4 linked regions of the Arabidopsis thaliana genome follow. The protein of the gene in region 3 interacts with the protein of the main gene of each other region in a biochemical or structural test. Each region holds a gene or a part of one and is shown on either strand. Other genes may lie near its edges.

Region 1 (4,650 bases), about 15 Mb from region 3:
CTTAACAATTAGTCTAATGGTTTATATATTTGTGTACGACGCTAAATTTTTAAACCCATAAAATTGATAGTGTTGACCATAAATAAAAATATGAACATTATACTTGATGGAGAAAACAAATTTATTAAAAACTTTAGAGGTGGATGGATAGTTTTAAAATTATATATATATATATTTGGCAGAAGGAGAGAAGGGCAATAAGGATGATAATGGAGTGGGAAAAACATTGGCGATAATAATAGGAATCGTCACCTTAATCATCTTGCTCGTTGTGTTTCTCGCTTTTGTTGGAAAGTGTTGTAGAAAATTACAAGGTATTTTTGATATTGATTTACGTTTTTTTTTCAGTTCTTTTATCGATCATAAAATCTAAATTACTATGTATATGCCTTTTGCAGATGAGAAATGGTGTAAATGAAAGGACAAAGTGGGAAAGATATCAATCAACAACTCGAGTCGAGCCACACTGTTAGTTGTATTTTTGTAATTTTTTTTGTTCTCCCTCATAAGATGTACGTAGTTATAGTATATTGATAATTTGATATAGTATTGATATGATTGTATCTCCGAATCGATTTTTGTATAATTGTCGGACTTATATAGGCCAAAGCGATATCTTCTTCTTTGATGTGAATGAAACCTTCGATTTCTTATCTTCTATAAATGCCATGTTTTTCGTCTATGCAAAAAATAACAGTAATTAAAAGGGTTTGAGCTTCTTTTATCAATACACAAACAAGTTAAAATAAATGAACGTGTCGAGAATAATGGAACATATTAAACCGTAAATCAGGATGGAGATCCAAAAAATGATAACTGTGTTCGTCCTATTGCGAATGTCTGAACGAATCTTTTCATCGTATTCATCATTATTTATTCTCATATTGTCTAAAGAACTCAATTGAAGACTTGGCCTAATGTCCTTTAATCATTAAAAATGATAATTTAAAATTGTAAGCTGACTACCAAATCGTTTTAGGACTTTGAAAGACCAACTAACGTCTAATTCTTTTCCATATTTTTTTTAATTTTCTGAAATTCTTAATGTACTACCGATGATTGCTTCATAACCAGGTTCTTCTTTTAATTTGTACATGAGTAACATGACTAATAAATGACTTGCGTCTGTTTGAAACATTATATGAATAAGAAAAATTGGTCTCAAATAACAACATGATGTATCAAAGATTCAAAAATTTCACGTGTTATGAAATGAGCTTAGCAAAAGTTCACTCAAGTTCTTGGAGGTCTAGTTTGGAATGCAATTTAGCCAAATCTGTACAGTTATACTGAACAGATTTAATGTAAGTCGGGCCGTAAACAAAATTATGGGCCTTAGATAAGCAAATCAAACTTCTTTCAGCCCATTGAGCATTCTCGTGATTTGGTTATTGTATATCCAATACGTGACATTACTTTTGCCTCAACGAAAGAGTCTTGGCTTATCATTTCATTTATTATTATAGTTGAAATAATTTTCAAAGAAAAGAAAAAAATATGTGATAAATACCAAACCGTTGCATAAGAAAAGCAACCACACATTTTACATGTGTGTGTGAGTTCACGAAGAAAATATCCAATAGCCAAACTAATTAATCCACCTTTGAAAAAAAACATGCACTATTATAAACTAGAGCCACCGACGGTCGACGGATGTCTAATTGTATATGGTCCTCAGAAATGAAAAAATCAAAAGAATAAACACGTGTGAATTAACCGGTTTAACCAGTAGCACCAACCGTTTGTACCGGTCAGAAAAAAGCCCCACATGCTTTAATCAAGCAAGCCTTTAAAAACAGGAAAGGCAAAGAGTTAAATAAGCCTCTCCAAAAGTGTGTCTGTAACATTACCAAAACGAAACCTTCCTTGTGGATTCCCACTTCTTTCTTCTGTTTTCTTCTTCCTCTTCTTTAAATTGGATGTTTTGGGCAAGAAACAGAGAGAAACACGTTAATTTGAGAGTTTGTCATTGAATATTTGGTTTGCAATGGAAAGAGATTTTCTGGGTTTGAGCGACAAGCAGTATCTAAGTAATAACGTTAAGCATGAGGTTAACGATGATGCTGTCGAAGAACGAGGTTTGTGTTCTTGTCTCGAGAATCTTTTATTTTAATGTTTCAAGAAGAGATCAGTTTTCACTTTTAACATAGCCGTATAAAGTTGTTTATTTAAATATAATTTTTCAGATTCCAAAACTTGAAAAAAAAAAGATTCCATTAAATCTTTTATAAAAATGAGATTGGATAGATTAGTCAAATTGACGACCATAAAAAATGATACTTATAGGGTTAAGTACGAAGGCAGCTAGAGAATGGGGGAAGTCAAAGGTTTTTGCTACTTCAAGTTTCATGCCTTCTTCAGATTTCCAGGTTGGTTCATCTTAAAATTTAACTTACTCTGTATCAGTTTCAGATGTTATGGCTAATCTAATGGTTCTATAAGCTACCGCATAATCATGGTCGTCTTTTAGCATGTGCAAGAGGAGTACTCAATTATGGTCTTGATTAAAAAGAAGAATTTACTTTCAAATTATGTTAAACACATCAATCACATATTTATGAGAAAAGTTGTTTTCGTAAGAGATAGCCACCGGAAAATGGTCGGATAAATGGCCGAACTTTATCATTTTTGTGTATGTGGCCAATCATTAACCAGGGAAAAAAAATTGTTGGATAAGTGCTAGTTAAGAGCTGGTAGGGTCGGTCGTCTGCCAGCCGCAAAGTTAGGGAAAAAATAATTTAATATTTTGTGGCGTTTGGTGTTTGGCGTTTGGATCACGTTTATTTCTTGGCATTTTTCTAAATTTAGAATGTACAAAAAATTTAAAGACGTTGACGATTAAAATTTGAATTTAACAAATTAGGAGGCTAAGGCGTTTCCGGGTGCATACCAGTGGGGATCAGTTTCTGCGGCCAATGTTTTCCGCAGATGCCAATTTGGTGGTGCGTTTCAAAACGCGACGCCGCTTTTACTAGGCGGTTCAGTTCCTTTACCAACTCATCCTTCTCTTGTTCCACGGTAATTTCCATATTATGATGCAAAAACATTCAACAATTTTTTTGCTCTTTTCATATTTTGATTTGGTTATGTGGGTTTGTGGAAACAGAGTGGCTTCCTCCGGATCATCTCCTCAGCTCACAATCTTTTATGGCGGAACTATAAGCGTCTTTAATGACATATCTCCCGATAAGGTATATATAATCAAGATTCATACAAATAACATTTACATAACATTTACATGTTCTAAAACGGACTATTCATGATATGTGAGTAGGCTCAAGCCATCATGTTATGCGCCGGGAACGGTTTGAAAGGTGAAACTGGAGATAGCAAACCGGTTCGAGAAGCTGAAAGAATGTATGGAAAACAAATCCATAACACTGCTGCTACCTCATCAAGCTCTGCCACTCACACTGATAATTTCTCAAGGTGTAGGGACACACCCGTTGCTGCGACTAATGCAATGAGCATGATCGAATCATTCAATGCAGCTCCTCGTAACATGATTCCTTCAGGTATGTGTGTCTAATATCAACATCAAAACAAAATATAATCAAGATTTTTGCTTCCTCAAATCATATGTCTAAACTCGAAAATTGCTTTTTTCCAGTCCCTCAAGCTCGGAAAGCATCCTTGGCTCGGTTCTTGGAGAAGCGCAAAGAGAGGTTTGATTTTGTATTTTTTTTCTTTATAGAAAATTTTGAGGTTTTTCAATTGAATCTAAAAGAATTGATGTTGTTGGTGCAGGCTTATGAGTGCAATGCCATACAAGAAGATGCTTCTTGATTTGTCGACCGGAGAATCCAGTGGAATGAATTACTCTTCTACTTCTCCTACATAAAACCTACACTTTTTTTTTTTTTTTTTACAATGGTAATTTGTAATTGTAATCATTAGATTATGATTATATAGTTACCATTTATATTCTTACGAGCAGGAGAAGACGTTAGGGCGTCTCTGTATTTGATCATTGTTTGTAATGCTTTGGTCTGTTTATTGTAGGATTACATTATAACTTTAAGAACTAACAGATATATGTTTGTCATGGACTCATGTCTGTCAAGAATTTAATATCAAATAAAATTCACTATAATTTTTTTTTTGCTAATTTCACAAACACACTTCATTAACTAATTATATGAACACTTAATTGATTTATACCAAAATCATATTGAATGCATCGCTAAAGAGAATAGTACTAGTTTTGTATCGCCAGCTTTCGTTGTTAACAAGTCCACTTTACTATTATTCTCTCGAGTTTTTTTTTGGTATCAATGTAAAGAAAATAAGAAGGTGAAAATTCTCTTGAGGTTGATGATTGTGTAAAATACCTAAGATGATATATTACAAAAAATGATATGTTTTCAAAGGAAAATATTCATGTTTTAAATAGCTTTTTATGAAAGTCACGAGTTCAAAATTTGATGTTAAGGAGAATAAATACTACTAGTTTATGTGCTACAGTAAACAAAAAAAAAATTGTGAACCAAAAGAGCTCACATGTTGATTACGAAAACAGAGAGATTCTCTTCACAAGCGGAAAGATCTTATAGATATTATTATTTAGAGGCAGATAAATAATTGTAGGAAAGTAATAATGGTGAAGGAGATGCACATAAGCAAAAGTTTGGTGAGGAGGACAAAAAAGAG
Region 2 (5,476 bases), on a different chromosome or scaffold from region 3:
TATATCATGCATATACATATGTCATTTGATTTTCTCTTTGCCATTATTTACTCTCATTCGATTTTAATACAAAATTATTTAAGTTGTTGTTGTAAACAGACGTTGCTGTTGCTGTTGAGTTTGATTTAGAATAGTTAAGTTTGGTTTTGGTTGGAGAAAAGTTTTCGTTGTTAAGCCAACTCGTGATCATTTAATCTGTTCTTTTTTTGGTAGGGGGTGATCATTGAATCTTTTGTTTTGAGTTTTGTATGTCTATATAGAGTCTAATACCATTAAAACAAAAAAAATGTCGTGGTAACCAGAATTAAATGATGTAAAAACAGAAAACAAGAATTAAATGTCGGATGTAAAAACAGAATTAAATTTCGGATGTTTTATGTGGATCATAGCGTGAGAGATGCGTTTATGGCATCTTTTGATATAATCTTCGCTTTGTAGGTCCACTTTTGATCTGATCTGATCTATTATCTATATGGAATGTTGTGTATATAATAAACTGCAGTGTAGTATTTTCTTAATAATGTGATATTAATATCTAAATTCTAGGCTGGAGAAAATGACGTGTGCTGCATATCCCCCAGACTCGAAATAACGATGTTATCGTGGGAGATGATCGTCAATTTTTTTTTTGTTTAGAGATCGTCAAGTTGTTGTGATCATTGACTCCTTTCCATTTTTTCTATAGATTTGAATTTTAAATATTCATTTTCATAAAAAAATGAAAACTTTATTATTATATTTGTGAGATAATTAGATATGTTTTAAAACATTAGTAAATTTAGTATAGTATTAGTTTTTACTAAATTAAGAAGAAAGTGACGCACGAAATGGCGTAATTTCCTCCCCCGGACCACATGCATCTTATAAATACACAAAAACGATGTCAACGAGTGATTTTAGTAATATGTACATTAAAGTAATATTTTCTTTTTGGTACCAATAATTACCTTAATTAATACAAGTATAGTTTAAGCAACAAGCAACATTCTTTAATAATTCGCGAAAAATATTAATAAAAGTACAATGACAGAAAAAATAATTAAAAATTGGATTAAAAAAAATAATATTAGAGTGATGACATAATCACATGAGGATTTAGATTTAGCTTAATAATGTTTAGTTGTGGAACTAAATTTCCGCAACAATTATTTTGTTGTATTTAAATCATTTTATGAAAGTCTAATCTTTACAATTACTTTATAGTACCATCCGATTAATCAAAGATTAAAAATATAGTACTAAAATACAAATTAATATATTTTGCCAAAAAAATGCAACGTGCAAATGTTTATCTTGGTCAAGAGAACGTGCACGAAAGTAGTGTAACTAATTTTACTATTTTAGATTGAGCGGTGAGACAAAAAGGGGGTTAGACTCACGCGCTACACTTAGCGCGTCAGCCGACAAAAAAAAGTGTTGTCATTGAATAAAAAAATAAATTAAAACTGCCGCTTCGCATCTCGTGAATCATTCACGTTAAAATAGCGCACGTGCCTCGCCACGCGTCTCACCACAAAAAGAAACGCCACACACTGCACGACGATGCACGTGCCTTTTTAACCGACTATATCCGGTGACGTAACCGGGACAACCTGTAGCTGGTTTTTGCGCCAATAGGATATGAGAAAAAAGAATCTTTTTTTTCTTGTTATAGTTATAAATTAATGGTACGATTCACATGTCGCATGCGATTTGTTAATAAAACTAGAAATTGCGGTGAATTAACTTCATTCCACGTTTTTTCATTTTCTCCCTCAAAAGTCTCTGTTTTTTTTCCTTTTTCCGGCGAAGCTCTATTTAGCTTGATTCCGGCGTTTAACACGCGTTTTAATCGAAACAGACATTTGAGATCGAATTAATTTTGTAGCGGGCTGTGTCTTTATTATAGATGGAGAGAGATTTTCTCGGGTTGGGTTCGAAAAATTCTCCGATCACTGTCAAGGAGGAAACCAGCGAAAGCTCTAGAGATTCAGGTTATTTATTACTCTTCTCAATTTTTCTGATTCTGATTGTTTTTAAATCGTAGATTTGTTTGATTGATTAGGAGTTATTAGGACTACTTGTAGTATGGAATTTGTTTTTGGATAGCTGATTTTATGGCTTGCTCGGGAACTGGAATTGTCAGTTTGTTGCTTGGAGCAGAACATTGTCCTTTGCTTTTCTCGGGAGATGTAGAATTTGGATTTGGAAAAACTAGTGTTCTTTTCCAAAGCCTTGTCTTAAACATGCTTTCGGTCGGAGAAATTAACGAGAACTAATCTCAAGCTTCTAACATAATTAAACTCGGTAAACTTTTTTTTACTAGAGTAAATTTTTTTGTTTTGTTTGAAGAGTCTTATAATTGAGAAATACTTTATTAGTTTATACTAAAAAAAAAACGAATACGTAAAATGTTGGAAAAGAGGGGATGTATAGAGACTGATACAAAAATGATAAAATAGAGACGGTTGGTAGTAGGTAGAAAGATTAAATATACTCAAAAGAGTGAGTTGGATTAGTTTATAAGATGATTAACTTCTTGATTGTGTGAGTTGGATTAGTTTATGAGATTATTAAAATATTGATTGTGTATTTGTGTTGTGTGTTGATTAAGCGGAACTTGCGTTAGAATATTGTTCAAGGTACAATGTGGAAATAATAGTTTTCTCACCACGAGGAATATAATTATTTCAACTTTGTTTTCTTATCAGCCAAAACGTGCCACACCATAAAAGTAGTGCATCAACATGTGGTGTGGTGTGGTGGGGTTAAAGTTTGAATCTCTCTTTAATTTAAACTATTAAAACAAACTTAAATTATTGGAGTTTCGTACAATGACTTTCAATCAAATGTTTTAGAATTAGACACGGTTTTCGAAAGTGGTTTTCCCTCGTTGAATTTGTCAACAGTATCAGATTCTACATTGTTGGTTACTAATCTTTTCCTTGAAGTAGGTGTTGAATTAATCCTCTGTTGTTTATGTAAGGAGATCTCGAGACATTTATGGTTAACAGTTAACACTACATGTTTGACTTTAAACTGATTATCTTTTATTCTTTTTCTTTTGTAGCTCCCAACAGAGGAATGAACTGGTCTTTCTCAAACAAAGTATCAGCTTCTTCTTCTCAGTTTCTATCCTTCAGGCCAACTCAAGAAGATAGACATAGAAAGTCTGGAAATTATCATCTTCCTCACTCTGGTTCCTTCATGCCATCATCAGTAGCTGATGTTTATGATTCAACCCGCAAAGCTCCTTACAGTTCTGTACAGGTATTTGTCATCAAAACCTATGTTAACCAAGACCCTTGTGTTTTTTTTATCCTTCGCAAGATAGCTTTAAAAGTGAGCCCTGTTTTATGAGCATATAGTAATTGGTTTTGAGTCTAGTTTAGCACAAGTTCATGGCAATTAGTTTGTGGATCTAATCTTGGTTTAATACTGATTCATTTTAAGTGTAAGCTAAGCTTCTCATTTTTGATAAGTTAGTTCATACAATGCCTCACACCTACTTTATGGCTTGTTACTCTCAGGGAGTGAGGATGTTCCCTAATTCCAATCAACACGAAGAAACTAACGCAGTTTCCATGTCGATGCCGGGTTTCCAGTCTCATCATTATGCACCAGGAGGAAGAAGCTTCATGAACAATAACAATAACTCACAACCTTTGGTAGGAGTTCCTATCATGGCACCTCCAATTTCAATCCTTCCTCCTCCAGGTTCCATTGTAGGGACTACTGATATTAGGTACCCACTAGTCATCATATCATACAGAAACTCTTTCTACATTTTCATAGTTGACTAAAGACTTATTTTTGTCAGATCTTCTTCCAAGCCAATAGGTTCACCTGCGCAGTTGACGATCTTTTATGCCGGTTCAGTTTGTGTTTACGATGACATATCTCCTGAAAAGGTATCTCAATCATTTTCTTCCATATATGCATCTCTTTTACTCGTAAGGTATGGTACTCATTTGCTTTCTTTCATTTCTCAGGCAAAGGCGATAATGTTGCTAGCTGGGAACGGTTCCTCTATGCCTCAAGTCTTTTCGCCGCCTCAAACTCATCAACAAGTGGTCCATCATACTCGTGCCTCTGTCGATTCTTCAGCTATGCCTCCTAGCTTCATGCCTACAATATCTTATCTTAGCCCTGAAGCTGGAAGTAGCACAAACGGACTCGGAGCCACAAAAGCGACAAGAGGCTTGACGTCAACATATCACAACAACCAAGCTAATGGATCCAATATTAACTGCCCAGTACCAGTTTCTTGTTCTACCAATGTAATGGCTCCAACAGGTAAAAAACAAAGTCAGAGACCTGATACTACATTCGCCATCTAACTTACTAGTATTTTCATGGATGTAACTTCATTCTCGTTCTGTTTCTTATGCAGTGGCATTACCTCTGGCTCGCAAAGCATCCCTGGCTAGGTTTTTAGAGAAACGCAAAGAAAGGTACGCAACACTTCTTTAGAATACACCATTCAATAGTTTCTTGGGCTAACTCTCTTTCTCGCTGTGGGTTTCTCAGGGTCACGAGCGTATCCCCATATTGCTTAGACAAGAAGTCATCGACAGATTGTCGCAGATCAATGTCTGAATGCATTAGTTCTTCTCTCAGCTCTGCAACCTAATTTCATCTACAGTAAGAAGGTTGCTTTAGACCACTCCACATCCATATTTGCATTTCAATGGCGGTCTTTTCAATGTCTCAGTTAATTTTTCCTCACTCGCCACACTGAGTTTCTCCTTAGCTTTATATATACGATAGTGTATACTTTGTTTACATGTTTTTTGGTGGAATGGAACTTATGAGAGCATATCAGATATGTACTTGGGAAAATTAGTAGAAACTGTTTGTTTCTTTTTTTTTAACTCTGTTCTTTTGTATATATCACTGAAGCTCGCATATGTATAATTCATGTAATGGAATTGCATCGCTTCTGTTTCCCTAAGTTATTTCTCTAATCAATTTTCTATTCAAATATGGGGATTTTTTTAATAGGATTTGCTAATTTGTACTCTGGTTAACAATAAGCTTGATACATTACCAGTTACCAACTCGAATTCACAAAAGAAGTCATCATTATATATGGAGAAAATGGAACATCTTTTAGAATTTGCTTTAATTCGTTTTGGCTAATTATTTTTCGGTCTTCGTTTTGGCTGTGAGTTTCTTTGTAACATCCTAATTTCAATATGTGGGCCATTTTGTGTTGTAGCCCATCAAGGCCCAATGTCTTATTGCACAACGAAAAGGGATGTTGCAAAAGATGATAAACCGGATATGAATTCAGTCGCGGTTAAGTTAACGCGAAGACAAAACCGGTTGGACATGTTCGGTTTTCGGCGATGATTATTTCAACGTTTTTCAGTCTAATCAAAACCAATACGAGCAGACACAGCTCCGTACGATCACAAGGATTCACTGATTTCTAAGCTTTTCATAGAAAGAAGAAGAAAAAGGCGGAATTCGATGGTGGATGCGATTCAAGTAG
Region 3 (5,380 bases):
AATCACTGAGATTGGTAATATATGGGTTTTAGCCTCTTAACCTAATCATCGAATTAATCATTCAGGTTCTTTGAGTATCGAACTTCTCTGTTTTCTCAACTTGAAAGCAAAGCAAAATAACATTTTTAGTTGTATCGATTAGCTAATTTTGATTCTTTGGAAGTCTTACATTTCTGGTTGATTGCTATTAACGAATCTCTAATTTGGTCCTCCTCTAGTTGCAAAATTACATTTGTGTGTGTTTTGTGTCTTCAGCTTTTGAATTAAGAAGCTTCTAGGGTTTTATAGAGCTTTAGATTCTTTCCTTTAAATGCATTACCTTATAATAGAATTTGGTTTGTTTTATCAGTGTTTTGAGTAATTGGAATTGAAGGAAAGATGAGCAATGGTGGTTTGAGCATTGATGAGAAAGAAGGGTTGATAGACAAAGATGAAGTCATGATCCGTCGAATGAAGAACAGAGAAAGACAACGTAGGTATCGAGCCAGGAAACGGATGCGGGAAGAAGAAGCGGGTAACGATGATAATCTTTCGTTTGAGACAATGGGAAAACAAGAAGAAGAAGAAGAAGAAGACGAGGGACTAGAGTTTAATGGACCTAGTGGTTATGTTGAGAACTTTGTGCGGCGGGTTTATTGCGATAGAAATTGGAAAAAAGAAGCTAGAAGAGCTCATTTGATTATGAACAAGGCTCAAGATAGTTCTTGTGAGTCGGTTAAACGGAAGATAAGGCCGCATCGTCGAGATTGGAAAGCTGAAGCTAGAAAGAAGAAAACTTGATTCTTGAGGATTGGTCAGGTTGCTAGAGGATCTTGCGAGGTGATCGAGGAAGAGAATGCACAAACAAAGCAGATTTCAGATTCAATAATCTCTTCAAGATTTCTATTTTTGTAGATATTGGAAATGATCAAGACAAAAGCAAGTGATTTGCTTTTTCTTGTCTGTGACTCTGTCTGTGTATTCGAAGATCCATGTAGTATTATACTAAGGTTTATGTGTGTTGTGTCTTATTGATTAGACAAGAGGAAACATTATCACACTGACTTAAGAAAACTGTGCATATGGTCTCCCTCTCGACTTAACTTACTTAAGATTTGTCTCTCTTCCTAAGTTTGATGTGTTAGGAGAGACATTTTTGACCATATGTACAAAATCAGTGATCATGACCATTAGTCTCTTATTTTAGACCATTTATACTCGATTTCTTTTTCTTTTTTATCATATGAAATTGTGTAGAAATATTAACTTTTTCAGTAACTAACTCATATTACTCATATCAATATATACAAGTTTACTCATTGAGGAGATACAACAATAAAACGATACAGACTCAAACATAGAGCAAAAGAAGAAACTTGTCGCTCTATTTTAAGATTTTTTTCTTACAAAACTAAAATCTACAAAATTACTGAAGCCACTAAAACGAATTAATTATGATTTGACCCCATAACTTTCTAAACTTCCCAAAACACACCCTTTTAACCGATTTTTGAAATCAAACTTGCTCTGAGCTGTTCTTGCGTATAGATCCTAAAACCCATCTTCACCGTCGCTTGTTGAATCATCAAATCGTTAACCACCGACATACTCGCGTGATTCACTTCCAACTCCAAATCCATCAACGCCGACATCAACCTCGCCGCCGGATGATTCCTCTTACTAGATTCAACTCTAATCATTGCGTCCCAACCAATTATCTTCACTTCAATCTCCATCCCCACCGGTTTAATCGAAGAACACGAAGACGACATATCTCCTCCACTAGCACTCGCTTTTCTTCCGGCGAGCTCGAGTTTCACTTCCTCGAGCTGGTTCTTGATTTGGAGTTTCTCTGACTCTGTTTTGACTACTTTGGATTTAAGCTCGTTGATGTAAGCGATTGCGTCACCGAGTAACGAAGCTTTATCCATTTTTGAAACGTTTGGTACAACCGCTCGTAACGCGTAGAATCTTTGGTTTAGTTTCTCGCGTCTTTGTCTCTCTGCTTCGACGTGGTTTAGTGGCTCTTCTCTACCGTTTGCTGGCTTTCTTCCTCGTTTCTTTGGACGTTTCTCTACTGCTACTTCTTTCACGACGGAAGCTTCTAGATCGGAGTGATCTGATTCTCCGGCGGTTTTATCTCCGAATGATAGAACTTTATCTTCGTTCAAAACCATCGACCTCTTTCTTTTGTTTTCGAATTGTGTTTGACCCGAATAAGAACTTGGATCCGGGTTTCCGGAGCTTCGTTTACCTTCATCGCCGAAGTTTAATATCTCGCCGGATCTTGGTTTCACTAAAGTAGAACTTGACGTCGAAAAATTAAGTTCTCGGGAGAAAGTGTTATTGAATTTCGGATTCTGGGTCTGAGAATGAACCGGACTCGGAGTCGGATCCAGATTCGGGTTTTCGGTTATTGTGCTTGAGCTACCGTTCTCAAACTGAATAGACTTTGAAAAAAGCTGGGAGCTAGAACTTGGAGCTCCGTTACCCGGTTCGTTAGATCCAGGTGTTCCAATCGGGTCATTAATCCACATAGACGGGTCGTTCTCACCTTGATCCGGGTCAAGATTCCAATTAAGACCCGATAAATCTCCAGCTCCGCCGTCGAAATTGAAAAGAATTCGAACCTTGTTAATAAGGTCCGAACTCTGTCGGATCGGCTCCGTTGACCCGACTTCCACAACTCCGTTCGCCGAAGGAATACACGCAATAGTATGCATCCCAAACACTCCTCCTTGCTTAGCCCGTTCACAACCCGACCCGGATAATTGATCTGACCCGGAAACCCAAACCGCGTTACCCGTTGCAAACGCTTTACCAGCTAATCCCGCACCGCAAGCGAAGCTCTGCGTCATCGAAACCAAGAAAAACCATTCCGTATCCGTCACCTCCTCATCAACAGCGTCATCCGACGGAGCAACACCACCGGAGATCAACGAGTTAAGCTCTCTCAACACTTTTTTCCTGTACTCCTGATCCGCCGGAGTAGAAAACGGCGGCGAACTCGATCTCCGTCTCGGGTTTGCTTTATCTTCTTCACCTTTGTAATAACCATCTCCCCATCCGAGCACGGAGGCGCCGGAGAAATCATACGACGGTTGCCAGAATATAGCGTAGGTCCAACCTTCGTGTGTTCCTTCAATCAAAGCTTGTAAACGTTGCTGAAGAGTCTCTTGATTAAATCCCGCCTGTGCCGGAATCTCCATCGCCGGCGTCGGAGTTGTTTCAGTCGTCGCCGTCGTGGTTGTCGTCGACGCCGGAGGCCATAAAGTTGAGATATCGGAAGAGCTCATGAAAGCTTCCATCATAGAAGCGTTGTCGTCGGTGGTCCAAAGATTCATCGTTGGTTGTAGCCGGTAATCAGTCATTCCATAAACCGGTGACCGGTAAAAAAAAACACGTTTTTAATGAGAGAGAGAGAGATAGGAGAAAGTCTTCGTAGTGGAGAAAAATGGAGAGCGTCTGCGATTATTATATGTGTAACTGATCTTGAGGGTGAATGTGTAAATTTGTTGTTAGGGATATTACGTGGCGAGATTTCATTGGGAAACGTGGATGGTTGTAAGAGAGAGAGAAGCTTCGATGAACTCACATCCCGATTTAACCCCATCGACTGTTGGATCGACGCGGTAAGAATTAAGACCGGAAGTGAGTGAGATCGTACGGCTGTTTGGTCGCACGTGTATCACACGCTCTTTAATGATTGACTTAGATTTTAACTGATTGTTTCTTTTGTACCAAAGAGTGAACTGTGAGCTCAGTGGAAAAACACTTTACTATAACTTTTCACCTATTTTTTCGATTTATATTTGTCGTTTTGTCAACTTTTAGAATATATTTTTTATAACAGATTAATTACTTATTTTATAATGTTATTTTAAAATATTAAAAATCAAAATTTAAGATTTGTAATCTCAATTATCAAATACTGTGTCTTAGCTTAATTAATTTTGAGATTTGCATATCTATATAACGTGAGTCGTTGCTAATAATTCACTAAAGCAAAAATTTGTGTTTGTCTTAATATGTTAAATTGCAAGAGAGTGAAATGCAAGTGAGAATCTCTATCTCCAAAAACGATTCTTGTCTGCTTAACTAATTAATTTGTTGACGACTAAATAAACTAATAATTTATTAATTTGACCAAACGCTATTATTAGCATATGCTTTAAGAAAGGAAGAACTCCTTTATAATATTTTTAGTTACATTCACATTTCACGATAAACACATGCTAACAACGTTATATTGTTTGTTTAATTTACAATATTAAAATTTTATTTTTAAAGTTCGAACAATAATTCAAGGATTAGGTCATTAGGTGAGTATGAGTGAATAACATAAATCATTTGGCATCTTTTCCTCCATGCATAAATTTATCACAATAATTTAGCATGCCACCAATATGGTCCCATTACTCCTAACCCTTACCTAAAAACCAAAAATAAAACAAAAAGAATTAAGATAAAATAGTATATATATATATATATATATATACTTCTAAAATTCTATCTTGCGAAGACAAATTCTTACTAACAAAACACTAAACTTATGTTATTGTGTTCTTGTAGATTTACGTTGTCTTGTGATAAACTCAATGATATGTCTTTATACGTTCAGATTAATGATACTCCGGTTGATTTTTCTTATTAAAACCATATTAAACTAAAGAGTATTTTACCAACAATAAATAGTAAAATAATTTTGGGATCTAGTATACCATTTTTTGTAAATAACAACCAAAATAACTTTTGAATATAATTTTCTGAGACATCTGTATTGGGTGAACTCGTCAATGAACGATTCAACAAACAGAAAACAACCAAACCATTGTCTGGTGGTTGTGAGTCGACTTTTGAACATGTTTACTATAAGAAAATTATGAGAAGATGTTACACTAAGTTTTGGCTAGGTGATTCGTGATATCATATTTCATGTCGACTTTGGGGGTGACGCCACTAGAAAACAACAATATCCCACTAAGTAATGAATAATTAGTGGGATAAATATAGAGATTTCCCCCCTTACTTCGAGAAATGAGATAACAAAGATGACAGTTTTCTTGTTATGTTGTTATGTTGAGCTTAGAATGGGGATGATGGAGTGTTCTGACTTCTTAGAGAAAATGGTTGAAATTTTTTAAGTAGAGAGTCGGGTTGATTAAATGAAGATCTTACTATCACCTTGTTGAAAGAGAGGGACATTAGTCGGGATTCGGGAACAATGTGGAACGTAAGATATAAATTTCCCATATGTTATTTCCTAACTGCATGAAATAAAAATATATCTGTTACCTGATCCAAATTTGTATGTGACCAATTCGAGTTATTCTTAGATTTAGAGAAATAGAGAATCATCAATTGGTGTACACTTTCGATAGATCGTCGAACATGATATAAT
Region 4 (4,119 bases), 5.2 Mb from region 3:
CCTCCGCCATGAAAGTAGACGAGTAGTGGGATTTTCTTCTCGCCGGTTTCATAGACGGAATTTTGAGGGAGGTAAATGCGGAGAGAGAGGTTTTTCTCCGGTGAATAGACGGCATCTTTAGATACGACGCCGTTTTCGGGATTTAGTGACGGTGGGACGAATGTTTCGGGTACGAGGCGTTCGATGCCACCGTTCTTGAATATACGAAACCTCGGAGAATAGTCGAATGCGATTTCGGAATCCATTAGAGATTAATGATGATTAGGAAAGAATTAAGAGTTGATTTTGGTGTTTATGCGATTTATTTATATGAATGATCTCTACGAGACTACGACTACTCTGAACTCTCTATAGTTTTGGTTTGGTTTAGATGTCACGTTGTTCTTTAGTTGTTGACATGTTGTTAAACCTACCTACTAACTCATAATTCACGGGTTTGAATTTGAATCATAAAATATGAGATTAGTAGGTAACAAGTAAACAAATGAAAACAAAACACACCTACTTACCTGATAGGTAGATTTATCAAGATATAATTTAGAGTATTTGATAGTATGGTTCGTCAACAAAAATTATTGTTCTTACAAAATTAGTTACATACGAAACTAATTTTGAGATAACCCATAGCAAGGGGATTTAGACAGGCGACAATAACTAGTAGAAAAACAGACTATAACGAATACTAACAATAATTGATCACTAATCAATACATACAAATATATGAAGTTTCCTAATCATTGAGTAGTTTGTATCTTAAATCAAAAAGCATGAAGATAGGAGCTTTTATATCTTGTCTTGAAGCAACGTCGTCAAAAGAATTTCTTGGTACGGCTTGAGGGTGGTTAGCATTCATATTTCAGCTGCTAAACCGAGCCACGACATGTTGCCTGTGGTTTGAGGGTTTGAAGACGCTTTGGCTGGATCGCATAATTGGTATGGTGCCTTTGACGTAACTCTGTCCTTTCTCTTCTCCAAGAACCGGTGAAGTGAAGCTCTTCTAGCAATAGGAAGTTCTGTCAATGGTGTTGGGGAGGATTGGATTGGCTCTTGTGTTGTGGTTTTTCTTGGATGAGGAACTTGGTTTGCGATAGTAGCGATGTTGCTTCTGATATCGGTTTGATTCTTGGCTAAGCTATTAGCGGTGCCTTTGCTCGCCAAGTTGATCACTTCTTTGGCTTTCTCAGCAGAAAAGTCATTGAATACAATCACTTGCCCGGCGTAGAATATAGTCAATGGTGCAGTTTGAGACTCTGGTTTCACAGATCTGGTAGTCTGTGTCATTTTCAAAACATCTTCCTTTGGAAGAGAGGAAGATGAGGAAGAAAAGCTTGGTTGCCTAGGAAACAGATTCGTCGGTTTAACATCTTGAACCATGGAATCCATGTTAGAAGCTTCACAAGGGAATAAACTCATGGTTGTTGTCGGCTGACGTGAGTTGCCTAAAGTTCCTGCAAATATATATGATCCAAAAGTTAGAACTCTCTCCAATCATTTTCTATGTCAAAATTTAGCAAACTAACTCTCCCTAATTTCTTTGAAATCGATTCAAAATTTTCTTGAAAAGTTTTCAAGATCAAGATTCAAGAAATAAAAAACAGAGAAAACGAAAAAAGAAGTGGATCTAGGAGAAAGAGAAGGTTTCTTACCATTGACATCAGGCTTGCATGCCATTCCTAAGCTCAGATCTCCAAAGCTACCGTTCTCTTTTAGATACTGACTCAATCGACTACACGTCTGTGAGAAGCTAGGCTTCTTCCCAGTAAATCTCCGGCTACCGACGAACTCAGAACATTCCATAGAACTCGACATCTTTAACAATTAAAACTTTCAAACGGCAAGAGTTTCTCGAATAGCTAAATCGATACAAAGTAATCTCAAATCTTTTTCTTCTTCTTCTTGTTGTTGCTGTTGCTTCTCTGCAAATTGCGTTTGTCACGAGAGGGAGAAATGGAAGGTCTCTATAAAACTTTGTTTGGCTTTGGGGTTGGTTGGTTTGGTTGCAGAGTTCTTCTTCCTACCTCCAATATAACAAAGCTATATATTAATAGTTTAATAAATACTACTACTTTACTTATGGTATAAAAAACACGTGTTTTATTTTGTTTCTTTAGAAAAATCGGGAATGTGTCTCGGTTCACTGTTCTCCACGTTCTGACGCTTTCCGTTTCTTTGAAATTACGAGTTTGCCCTCCTTCACGAGCCTAATTTATCCATTGGTTGTTTGTTGGTAAGAATAAAGTCAAATAAAACACAAGATGCATGTAATGATGTAAAGAGAAGAGAGGTTACATTTTATCTCTAATCTTTATTATCAACGTAACGTAGGCATAATTCTCGTCGTGATTTTGGTGCTGTTTTTTTTTATCGGATATGTTAACAAGAAATTAATCAACCTAAACACGTCTAAAAAGTACTTAATATTTCTAATTAAAATAAAATAAAATCTTTTTGTATAAATAAGAAGCAAAACGCGTTAGAACCAGTCAACAGTCAAAGCCTAAACTCTTTCACATTTTTAAATGCTCTTCATTGAGACTAAATAATCTTACAATTATAATTGAAATCTAATATGATATTATACTCGAAACATTTTAAAACTTACTATTATAAGTATATTAACGCGTGATTCATGCAGAGAGACAAGCTAAGAATTGTCTAATATCTAGAAAGAAATAAATTAAAATATAAAGTCTGCTAGTTGTCGAGTTGGAATAAAAATGAGGCACAAGCTAAAAGTCATACATCAAAGTCAACCCACATGTCGACCGTCACAATTGATAAAATGCCATGAACCATATGATAATTTGATTGAATAATCAAAAGATTACACGTAACGAAAGTAATGCTTGGCACCTAAAAATCAATAATACAAACTGAGACCTAATTAAATGGTCGTCAATATAAAAATGGACATATTAAAATATATTAAGATATCCAAAAGCAAAAGAGAGACTAATCCATATATCAAGGGTGTTATCGTCCAAGCGGGAAAGTAAACGGCGTTAGTGAGTGGTCCCCTAAAGAAGACAACTCCACCACCCACATGTTCCGTCGACCACGTTTTTGTTGTTATGCGTTTTTTGAACAATATCAATATTTAACGAAAAAAAGAAGCAAAGAAGAAGGAAACTACAAGGAAAGAAGGTTGGCAAGTGCACGTTGTCTGTACCTATTCGATATGACACGTGTTTTATCATGGTTGGTTCGTTTTTCTACGCGTGGAGAGATTCTTGTATTTCAGTATCCAGGGCTCTTATACGCTGCTACGCGACCTATAGAGTTCTAATGTGATTTTATCACCTAAACGGCTAAAGTTGATCTCTACAGCTGCTTTCTCAAAGTAGACCAAGCCAAAGCTCAGATATTTGGAACCCTATACATGCAAATCGATCACAAAATATCTAAAACCTTAAAACATGAAACAAACTCCAAAACCTTACTTTTATGTATAGGCTTCAGCTTCACCTATACGTTGATGTCATGTTTCATTGTAGGCTATACATAATAAAACGACTAAGAGATAGATCTGTAATTGTAACTTGGTGTATAATATACACATTAATGTTTAATTAGACTTGGATAATGCGACACAATTATATTAAATTAATCAGTAAACAAAGTACGTGACAAAGTATTATAATATGGACTCGATCGACACAATTCAGAAGAAAAAGTCGTCCCATACTGATACAACGAGTCTTTCTTTTACATAATTGACAGAAACTTTATTGGTGCAAGATTAGATATATAAAATTCAAGATATATTTCACTAATTAAAAAACTCAACTAGTTTTGAGTTTATTGGTTAGAAGTTGGAACGTACTATAAGATATGAAATGTGGGCTATGGAGCCTATAAAAGTAGATATGATTAGATTAAACGAGAAAGATCGTCAAACTCGTGGGAAATGCGTGTACGTAGTGGTTGGGAAGGAATACAGATCCGCGATGCAAGTTGAGTAACGTGTCCAAATATATATACTTTTACAACTATTCATGCATTAGTTGAGTTTACCATTAATTTACGACTCTTAATTTATTGTATGATTATAGTATATTGTTTAGTCCTTGTTAATGATAAACCAACATTGTAGAGACTTGTAATGTCTAATATATTATA

What was found.
Region 1: the proteins of MYC2 (region 3) and TIFY7 form a complex in vitro, tested with the Arabidopsis thaliana proteins (2 studies listed by BioGRID).
Region 2: the proteins of MYC2 (region 3) and JAZ3 form a complex in vitro, tested with the Arabidopsis thaliana proteins (4 studies listed by BioGRID).
Region 4: the proteins of MYC2 (region 3) and JAZ1 form a complex in vitro, tested with the Arabidopsis thaliana proteins (3 studies listed by BioGRID).

The regions. Positions count from the first base shown.
Region 1 is NC_003070.9:26,652,964-26,657,613, forward strand, and holds TIFY7 (TIFY domain/Divergent CCT motif family protein), read left to right. Parts: upstream 1-1,804; 5' UTR 1,805-1,987; coding exon 1,988-2,078; intron 2,079-2,286; coding exon 2,287-2,369; intron 2,370-2,863; coding exon 2,864-3,018; intron 3,019-3,106; coding exon 3,107-3,191; intron 3,192-3,274; coding exon 3,275-3,515; intron 3,516-3,610; coding exon 3,611-3,786; coding exon of another isoform or gene 3,787-3,841; 3' UTR 3,842-4,101; downstream 4,102-4,650. Other genes in the region: HWI1 (Receptor-like protein kinase-related family protein), read left to right, coding at 183-314, 399-418. UniProt on the Arabidopsis thaliana protein: Repressor of jasmonate responses. Jasmonoyl-isoleucine (JA-Ile) specifically promotes COI1-TIFY7/JAZ9 interaction. Interacts with and suppresses RHD6 and RSL1 transcription factor activities to negatively regulate jasmonate-stimulated root hair development.
Region 2 is NC_003074.8:6,118,080-6,123,555, forward strand, and holds JAZ3 (jasmonate-zim-domain protein 3), read left to right. Parts: upstream 1-1,627; 5' UTR 1,628-1,888; coding exon 1,889-1,973; exon of another isoform or gene 1,974-3,003; coding exon of another isoform or gene 3,004-3,049; coding exon 3,050-3,249; intron 3,250-3,509; coding exon 3,510-3,724; intron 3,725-3,799; coding exon 3,800-3,890; intron 3,891-3,971; coding exon 3,972-4,275; intron 4,276-4,372; coding exon 4,373-4,433; intron 4,434-4,509; coding exon 4,510-4,612; 3' UTR 4,613-4,965; downstream 4,966-5,476. Other genes in the region: TDX (tetraticopeptide domain-containing thioredoxin), read left to right, coding at 5,455-5,476. UniProt on the Arabidopsis thaliana protein: Repressor of jasmonate responses. Jasmonoyl-isoleucine (JA-Ile) specifically promotes COI1-TIFY6B/JAZ3 interaction. Acts as a negative regulator of MYC2 function. Feed-back regulated by MYC2.
Region 3 is NC_003070.9:11,797,564-11,802,943, forward strand, and holds MYC2 (Basic helix-loop-helix (bHLH) DNA-binding family protein), read right to left. Parts: upstream 3,845-5,380; 5' UTR 3,351-3,844; coding exon 1,479-3,350; 3' UTR 781-1,478; downstream 1-780. Other genes in the region: AT1G32630 (FAM50A-like protein), read left to right, coding at 379-780.
Region 4 is NC_003070.9:6,620,002-6,624,120, reverse strand, and holds JAZ1 (jasmonate-zim-domain protein 1), read right to left. Parts: upstream 2,345-4,119; 5' UTR 2,290-2,344; intron 2,202-2,289; 5' UTR 1,810-2,201; coding exon 1,647-1,809; exon of another isoform or gene 1,449-1,646; coding exon 850-1,448; 3' UTR 501-849; downstream 1-500. Other genes in the region: AT1G19190 (alpha/beta-Hydrolases superfamily protein), read right to left, coding at 1-245.